2 linked regions of the Cricetulus griseus genome follow. The protein of the gene in region 1 binds, or shares a complex with, the protein of each later gene. Links are inferred from orthologs where the notes say so. Each region holds a gene or a part of one and is shown on either strand. Other genes may lie near its edges. The genes, in order: Fuz and Cplane2.

Region 1 (4,522 bases):
AAATGAAAGCAACTGTTCTAAAACATACGATAACCAAGATGCTAAAAGTGCTGACTCAGGAAGATTTACAGAATCAGGAGGGTGTGGCAATGAGGACACTGGGGAAGATGGGACATAAGAATCACGGATTCAAGGCCAGCTCTTGTCACACAGGGGGATTTTGTCTCAAATATATATATATATATATATATATATATATATATATATATATCAATCTATGAAACACATCAGAAGAAATCTCGTATTTGTCAAAGGAAGGTTTTTCAATTCCTTGAATTCATAAAAATGGATTACAAAAAGACATAGAGGGCCTAGGCTCTGTTGTAGAGAGGATGAGAAGTCCAAGGCCAGTTCTGGCTACATAGCAATTTCCAGGTATGCATGGGCTACATGAGGCCCTGTTTCAAAAACACTAACACAAAGAAACAAACAAAAACAAAAAGGAAAGAAGAGAGAGAATGACAGCAACCACATTTGTGATAGAAGGCTGGAAAACTGTAGTGAGTTCCAGGCCACCCTGACCTAGAGCCTGAAATGCTCTCAGAAAATAGAAAATAAAGGTATAAAGCTGTACACACACTATTTTTAATGTTAAAAAAGTAGCACCTGGCCGGGGGTTGGTGGTGCATGCCTTTAATCCCAGCACTTGGGAGGCAGAGGCAGGTGGATCTCTGTGAGTTTGAGGCCAGCCTGGTCTCCAGAGTGAGTGCCAGGATAGGCTCCAAAGCCACACAGAGAAACCCTGTCTTGAAAAACCAAAAAAGAAAAAAAAAAAAAGTAGCACCTGTTATATATCAAGTGTGCCATGGCATGTATATCAAGGTCGATTTTGTGGAGTGGGTTCCCTCCTGCCACAAAGAGTCTGGGGACTGAACGCTAGACAGGTCTCCATAGCTGTGTGATCCGATACACTGAGCCATCTCACTGGCCCTCAGCCATCCTCTTGATGAGGAAAACTATGGAAATGATAGTACAATGATCATATTTGTGAACATCTGTCCTAGTTAGTACTTGGTGCTAACTTCTATTGTTTCATGGATTGAAGTTTTCAGCACTTTGACGTTCTACATGATACACCATCATAAGCATGAATTCATTACAGAAATAATGTGGTGGTTTTTTTTTTATGATTTTTGGAAAGGTTTTCTTTTCTTTTACCTTTTTCTAATAACAAAAACAACCACCTCATATGGTGGTTACTAAGCAACGCTGCCCGGATCAAACCACTCTGAAAAAGTGAGAGGGGGATGGTGGCACAGCTGATAATAGTTTCAGAATGGAAATTATTCTGAATAGTGGTTGCTAGGCAATGCCTGAGTATACCGCCATCTTTGAGTGGGGCAGGCAAGGTATTTACCACTATGGAGTGAAAAAAGGTTATTGTCAGGCAATACTGTCGTCATCTTCAATCAGCTTTTTAAAAAACTATCATGTAAATTAGTATAGCACACAGTAAGGTTGCTAGTCAACACCTTGGCACCATCATCATCTTCAAGCTAGCATCTTCATTCTAGTTATACAAAGGATGTGAAGCTATCCGGTAGCAATTTGAAAGCTGGGCAAACACTACTTGTCGCCATCTTTATTAGGGTCATGATGACTTCCGGTTGGGGCGGAAGAGATTCTAATCCGGTTGCAGGGTTGAGTTGAGGAAGGCGGGAATTTGGCCATCTGCTTCTCCCTCTCTGGCGGCTCCGGACAGCAGGCCGACTTTGACTACCCGCATGCTCCCAGACTCACACCGAAAGTCCCCAGGGGGTGACTTTCTGGGTTGCGGGCTTCCAGATGGGGGATGAGGGGGCAGGAAGCACGGTTCACCTGCTGTGCCTCGCTGCCTCCAGCGGGGTCCCCCTGTTCTGCAGGAGCAGCTGCGGCGGCGCCCCCTCCCGACAACAGGTGGGGCGCTGGACTCCCGACCTAACGAGAAGGGGTTTGGGGAGCTGGGACTGTGTATCTCGCAGGGAGTAGAGGCTGGGGGCCTTTGGCTGAGAAGGGGGCTCTAAAGAACTTTGGGGGAATAAGGAGGAGGCTGCAGAGTGGGACACCAGGGTCAGCGTGGGGAGGTTACTCTTCGGAGTTACTACAATGCGTCCCCTCTCCTCAGCTTCCCTTTTCTGTCATCGGCTCCCTCAATGGAGTCCATATGTTTGGGCAGAATCTGGACGTGCAACTGAACTCTGCAAGAACGGAAGACACAACCGTGGTGTGGAAGAGCTTCCATGACAGGTCCCTGGCGGGAGCAAGGAATAGAACAAAACCTATTCAGAGGTCCCTGTCTTAGATGATCCCACAGTCTGGTCAGCTGTAACTGGCTCGTGGGATCTTGGATAAGTTACTCACCCTCTCTGATCCCTGATTTTCCCAGTCGAGTCAGGATGTAGCCTGCAGTGTTGGAATAGCTGACAGACACCACTGTGTTTGGCCCCGTTTCCCCCGCTCATCTTATTCTTGCGTCTCTCCTTTCACCCCACAGCATCACCCTCATTGCTCTGTCATCCGAGGAGGGCACCTCTGAGCTGAGGCTGGAAAGAATGCTGCACATGGTGTTTGGGGCCATGGTGAGACTGGGCTGTCTTGTTCCCAAACTCAAGAGCTCTGCACTCCCAGCCCCTTTCCCTCAGTCTAACCCCCTGCATTTTTTCCCCCTCACACTCAGGCATCCAAACCTCAGCCCTCCTCTCACACACCCAGGGGCCTCTCTCATACACAGGGTTCCAGGTGGGGTCCTCCTCTCTCACTCCCATCCAAGTACTGTCATCTTTGATTAGAATCTCTTCTCCTGTGTTAAGGGTCCCACTTTCCTGTGTGACTCTTCTAGGTTCTCATTGTGGGACTTGAGGAGCTGACCAATATCCGGAATGTAGAGAGACTGAAGAAAGAGTTGAGGGTGAGGCTGTGGTGCATGAGTGCAGTTAGGATTCCCTAAAGCTTGCCTGTTTGTCTGGAACTATAATTACCAGTAGGCCCTGGGACAGCATGGGCCCATAGGTGCTTGGGGAACTTGGTGTCCCACCCCGGAGCTGGCCCCAGCCTTCTCTGGACTGTCCTGGACCTAGGCTTTTCCCTTTCCCTCTGCTAGGCCAGCTACTGTCTCATCGACAGCTTCCTGGGGAACTCTGAGCTCATCGGAGACCTGACCCAGTGTGTGGACTGTGTCATTCCTCCAGAGGGGTCCTTCATGCAGGTATTGGGGCAGCTATAGAAATAAGTGTGTCCCATCTCTAGACATCACCCCAGCATCCTCTTCCCATTCTGGAATAAGTACCTGGAACTCTTTGGAAAAGAACTTTCTTCACCAGAGTCCACCCTGATCACTTCCCCTAGGACAAGCTCCCTCCCCTTTGCCTAGTGTCCCAAGGCCTGTGAGGCCTGTGCCCTCTGGTGCTCACCAACCTGTGTGACATCCATAAATCAGCTTTAAGTTCCTCGAGGGTCTCAAACAGCCTAACACTTTGCAGGTCCAAATCTTGAAGGGAGCTCTGCCTTATCTGGGCAAATCCCTAGTTCTGCGCCGCCCCCAGCAGTGTGTTCTGACCTCTCCCAGAGCTTCTATAGACAGTAAACTGTACATGCGGTTGTTTAAAGCATTGGCTTTACAGGGCCTGCCATCCTGCCATACCATACAAAGTTTAAGATCAGCCTGTGCAACTCAGCAACACTTGACTCAAAATTCAATGTGGCTTGGCAGTAGAGCTGCTTAGCTCCCATGCCCAAAGCTTTGGGTTACAGTCTCATTACTGAAGATTAAAAAACAACAAATCAAAAGTGATGCACAGTGAATTGAGAATGCTGCCTGAAAGGGAAGTTAAAGCATTCCTGTTCACAGAGAAGGTGTGACAGGGCAGCTTGGTAGCCTAAAATACTGGAGTGTCCCCCTTGGTACTGTGGCTGCTCTTCCACTCCAGGCCCAGGTGGAGAGGTCTTTCCTTGCTTTATGACTCCTAGTGTGACCCCCTCACAGGAAACCCTGTCAGGGTTCGCGGAGGCCACTGGCACGGCCTTCGTCAGCCTGCTGGTATCAGGCCGAGTGGTGGCAGCCACCGAGGGCTGGTGGCGCCTGGGCATGCCTGAAGCCGTGCTGCTCCCCTGGCTGGTGGGGTCCCTGCCACCACAGGCTGCCCGTGACTACCCCGTGTACCTGCCTCACGGGAGCCCCACGGTGAGTGGGAGGGGGAAGGGGCGGGACCTCTGGTGGGCGGGGCCGGGGGCCTACTTAGCCCCCTGCACCCTGCTGCAGGTCCCGCATCGGCTGTTGACCCTCACGCTCCTGCGGGGCCTGGAGCTGTGTCTGCTGTGCGGGCCGCGCCCGCCCCTCAGCCAGCTGGACCCACAGGTGAGGCTGCTGTCACCCCCTCCTGCTGTAGTCCCCAGCCACCTGCTGCGGTTCCTAGCCACCCAAGCTCCGCTCCCCAGCCCCGGCCCTGACCTCACACGAACCACGCTGCCCTCTGCAGTTGTTGGAACGCTGGTGGCAGCCGCTGCTGGAGCCCCTCCGGGCCTGTCTGCCTCTGGGCCCTAGGGT
Region 2 (4,299 bases), on another chromosome or scaffold:
AACAGCAGCTCACTCTGCCAAGTTGCTGCATTTTCTCATCCCCTGGTTGTGCCTCCCACAAACCAGGCCTGGGCAAGGCTGGATGTGAAGTCTGGAAGCCCAAAGACGATTCAGATCTGCGCATGCCTGGCCTGTGGGGAGAGCTGTGCACAGCCATGGATAACCCTGACTGTGCTGATTCTCAGCACTGTGGAGGCACCGGGAGCATGAGCAACGGATTCCAGCCACAGAGCCCTGTACAAATGCTTTCCTCCCGTCCTTCTGCCCCATGCAGTGTAGGCCGGTGAGGGAAGCACCCGCTCTTGCGCCCTTCTCCCTTCCCTACCCGCTTCCTGCTGCCAGCTTCACTAGCCCCTCCTAGGTGCTAGGGGTGAAGTGGTGAAAACCCAAAACCCAATCTGGCTGAATGGATACGTGTTTTTAGAGTCAGGTAACTTACCCAGGCTTCTGAGTCTGTTTTTCCACTGACTGGCTGTGAGGCGGGTGTAACCTCAGACAAGTCATGTCATCCCTCTGAGTTTCTTCATCTGTAATAGAAAAGCCATGACGCTGTTTATATGGAGACGAGTGCTGTAGACCCCAGTGCCGCAGCCCCCACAGAGCGCCCACCCCTCCTCCATTGCGCGGCAGTGGCTGGCCCCACTTGAAGACACTGTGCAGGATGCCGGTGAAGATTAAATGTAATAGCCACCTCTCAGAGGTGGCCCCACGTCCTGTCCCGCTCACAGGCATTTACTGAGCAGCCACCTTCTGGGTTGCTCACAGGCCCAGGCTGGAGCATCCAGTCCCAGGGCAGGACTGTGGCTCACCCTGGCAGGCACAGCACCAGCTAGATGCTGAGCACACAGCTGGGGGTTGGTCACTGCTGCAGAAAAGGAATGAATAAATCAATTAGTAAACAGATGACTCTCTATTCAGACCTCTTAGAAAGTTCCTTGACTTCTGCATCCAGAAGTGTTTGATGCTGGCCAGGCCTGAGCAGGATTGCTGGGGCCGTGACATTAATAACATCAACATAATAACCAAACCGGCTGAGCTGTGTTGGCCAGACACTGTTGTAAAGAATGCTATGAGGCGTGGTGGTGCACACACCTTTAATGCCAGCACTAGAGAGGCAGCCGCAGGAGGGTCTCTGTGAGTTCGAGGCCAGCCTGGTCTACATAGGATGATTCAGTCCAGCCAGGGATACATAGTGAGACCATCTCCAAAAAAAAAAAGGGGGGGGGAGCATTTAATGTTAAAGTCCACTTTGCAGAAGAGGAAACTGAGGTACAGAGAACCGAGGAAGCCTCCTTCCTGCCCCCGGGAGGGCGGGGGAGGTGATCATGTTGAGAGGAAAATCTGAGGTCAGACTGGTAAAACCGAAGGAGCTCCAGCTGAGGGAAGGAACTGCAGACCTTGCAGAACCCACAAAAGACCGGCCTGAATTCGGGAGCCCCGCCTCCCCCTGCGTCGCCATGGCAGCGCCCTGCACATGCGCCTGGCGGACCGCGCGGCTAGGCCTGGCGGACGCAGGCTCTGCGGGCAGGGCGAGACCACAGGGCGGGCTTTTAAAGGGATCCTCCCTGGTCCAGCCGGCCGGGTCGCTGGAAGTGTGGAGGTCGGTGGTCCCGGGAGTGGGAGTCTAGGAGGCAGAGGTGAAACGGGGCTGAGACTCTCGGGAGGTGCTAGGGCAGAAGAGGCTTGTGGAAATACCTTCCCAGGACAAGGATGGGCTGTTTGCGCAGAGAGCGAGCGTTGTGGAGGAGCGGGGCTATGGAAATGCACCTTTGGGTGAGGAGCCAGGCTCCAAGGGAGAGCCAGAGAGAGATTAAGAGGAACCCCCGGGCGGGCTTGGGGTAATGGTTACCCCTCTCTCCACTCCTACTCCCAGTATTCTGCCCCATCCCAACCTCACTGCGTGTTCAGCCATGGCCAGACCTCCCGTGCACGGTTCGGTGATTGTCCCAGACTGGCATGAGACGGTCGAGGGCAAGGAGTACTTAGCCTGCATCCTGCGCAAGAGTCGCCGGCGGGAGTTTGGTAAGTGCCTCCCTCACCGCGAACGCTTGACACGCCCTCCCTGGGGTGGCAGAAACAGGACAGTGGGACCTGCGCCACAGCAGTCTCTAGGGCCGCCTCACCCACATGTTCTTAGAGGACCTTTGTGAAGGGCCTGGAGCCTGGAGCATGGAAACGGCCCATCCCTGCCAACAGCAGCTGTCACCAGAGATGCTGTTGACTGGGCCCTCCTCACCTGGGGTCATGCCCTCTGCTGGGCACTTTGCACAGTGGCCTTCTGTGCAACCTGTTTTTAGACATGGTTTCACTATGTAGCCAGAACTCGTTATGTAGATCAGACTGGCCTTGAACTCAGAGAGCTCCACCTGCCTCTGTCTTCCCAGTGCTGGGATTAAAGTCAGGCTTGCAACCATTCAACCTTCTTCTCCCCTCCCTCTCTTTCTCCTTCTCCCAACCCCTTTCTGTTGTTGTTTTTGTCTTTTTCTCTATGTAGCCCCTGGCTGTCCTGAAACTCTCTGTAGACCAGGCTGGCCTCGAACTCAGAGATCTGCCTGCCTCTGCGTCTGAGTGCTGGGATTAGGCATGTGCCACCTAAGGGGCTCACTAAGGGGAGCCCCTTTAGTGTCTTCCTGCCTAGGGTAAGACATCGGTGTCCCAGGATTAAGCAGATTACCCAAGCAAGGCCCCAGTTAACAGGCCAAGAGGCATGGCGTCTGCTTTGGGTTCAGGCCAAGGCTACTGGCCTGAACAAATTCAGGGATTGCCTGGACAACACTGAAAGATTCTATCTCATGAGGGCTGGGTATCACCCTGCATGCAAGGGCTGTTCTGTCCCTGGTGCCACAAAGAACAGAATAGAGACTAGCTCGAAACTTAGGACTTCAAGTCATTAGACTACGCAATATCATCATTTTTGACTTTTTATGTGCAAGGTTTTTTTTTTGTTTGTTTGTTTGTTTGTTTTTCGAGACAGGGTTTCTCTGTGCAACTTTGGAGCCTATCCTGGCACTTGCTCTGGAGACCAGGCTGGCCTTGAACTCACAGAGAACTGCCTGCCTCTGCCTCCCGAGTGCTGGGATTAAAGGCATGTGCCACCACCGCCCGGCTATGTGCAACTTTTTAATTATTAAGTATTCTTTGTGTGTCTGTGTGTGATACTGACATGTGTATCTGTGCACACATGCATGCAGTGTCCTCAGTCAGAAGTCAGAAGAGGAGAGCAGAGAGATCCCCTGAGACTGGAACCCCTGTCTTCTGGAAGAGCAGCTGGTGCTCTTAACCACTGAGCCATCTCTCCAACCCCTCTGTGAAAGTTTTAAGAACTCATAAAGACATCAATGATTTGGTTTTATGGGATTTATTTCTAGTAGCTGTAAATACTGTTGCTTATATTTCCCTATTAAAGAAGAAACTGTAAAACACCACGTTTTGTGTATGAGGAATCCAGATTGAATAGTTAACTGTATCAATAGACAATATTTCAAAGTCTGGCAGTGGTAGAGCACGCCTTTAATCCCAGCACTCGGGAGGCAGAGGCAGGTGGATCTCTGTGAGTTCGAGGCCAGCCTGCTCTACAAAGAGAGTTCCAGGACAGGAACTCTAGCTACACAGAGAAACCCTGTGTCAAAAACAAACAAACAAAAATTCAAACATCAAGCTTAAAAGTGGCCTGGAGGAGCTGGAGAGAGAGCAGTTAAGAGCACCAGCTGCTTTTCCAAATGGCCTAGGCTGAGTTCCCAGCATCCAGTGGTAGATCACAATACCTCCTTCTGGCCTTGTAGGCACCAGGCATGCACATGGTATACATACATACATGTAGGTACTCATCAAAATAAATACAAAAGTTCAAACAAAATAACAACAAGAAGAACTTGGTGTTTGGGGGCCAGTGACATGGCTCAACTAGCACAAGCTTTACGGCCTGGATTGGATCCCCAGAAGCCTGATAAGGTGGGAGGAGAAAACCAGCTTCTCAAAGGTCCTCAGACCCTGGGAGAGATACCCGGTATCTAAAGCTAACTAGCCAGCTTGGTTCTCAGCCTTCGGCTCAGCTCTACAGAGGCCCAGAATAGACAGAGACCGGTTGCCAAGGATCTCACAGTTCATTTGCTTCACATGTGTAATGTGTCCTTCACATGTGTAATGTGACATGGACATACTCCCACATGATAATATACAGAATAATAAATGCTTAATACAAATCTCACATTGGCCATCGCTTACACATGTGAAGTTTGAGCTAGAATCGTTTGTCACTGATGATGGTAGTGACGACAATTTGTAAATAACTCACTTAAA

What was found.
Region 2: the proteins of Fuz (region 1) and Cplane2 are in contact, whole or in part, in a cryo-EM structure (PDB 7Q3E), measured with the Mus musculus proteins. The link is inferred for Cricetulus griseus from reciprocal best matches to the Homo sapiens genes FUZ and CPLANE2. Residues at the interface, in NP_081652.2 of Mus musculus: Arg26, Arg35, Ile109, Val110, Lys126, Glu127, Arg129, Ala130, Tyr132, Cys133, Asp136, Gln215, Ala216, Ala217, Arg218, Asp219, Tyr220, Pro221, Tyr223, Pro232, Leu238, Thr239, Leu240, Leu241, Arg242, Pro255, Leu256, Gly257, Gln258, Pro261; in NP_001074643.1 of Mus musculus: Glu36, Gly38, Leu39, Leu40, Glu41, Arg42, Val83, His84, His85, Glu86, Thr88, Gly89, Ile90, Gln91, Thr92, Thr93, Val94, Lys124, Phe125, Met128, Glu134.

Annotation. Positions count from the first base shown.
Region 1 is NC_048599.1:153,731,140-153,735,661, forward strand, and holds the start of Fuz (protein fuzzy homolog), read left to right. Parts: upstream 1-1,617; 5' UTR 1,618-1,785; coding exon 1,786-1,896; intron 1,897-2,104; coding exon 2,105-2,226; intron 2,227-2,473; coding exon 2,474-2,558; intron 2,559-2,818; coding exon 2,819-2,887; intron 2,888-3,079; coding exon 3,080-3,184; intron 3,185-3,961; coding exon 3,962-4,159; intron 4,160-4,237; coding exon 4,238-4,333; intron 4,334-4,454; coding exon 4,455-4,522. UniProt on the Homo sapiens protein: Probable planar cell polarity effector involved in cilium biogenesis. May regulate protein and membrane transport to the cilium.
Region 2 is NC_048595.1:12,028,482-12,032,780, reverse strand, and holds the start of Cplane2 (ciliogenesis and planar polarity effector 2), read left to right. Parts: upstream 1-1,456; 5' UTR 1,457-1,457; coding exon 1,458-1,600; intron 1,601-1,873; coding exon 1,874-2,022; intron 2,023-4,299. UniProt on the Homo sapiens protein: Required for efficient primary cilia initiation, regulating a late step in cilia initiation. Plays a role in the final maturation of the mother centriole and ciliary vesicle that allows extension of the ciliary axoneme.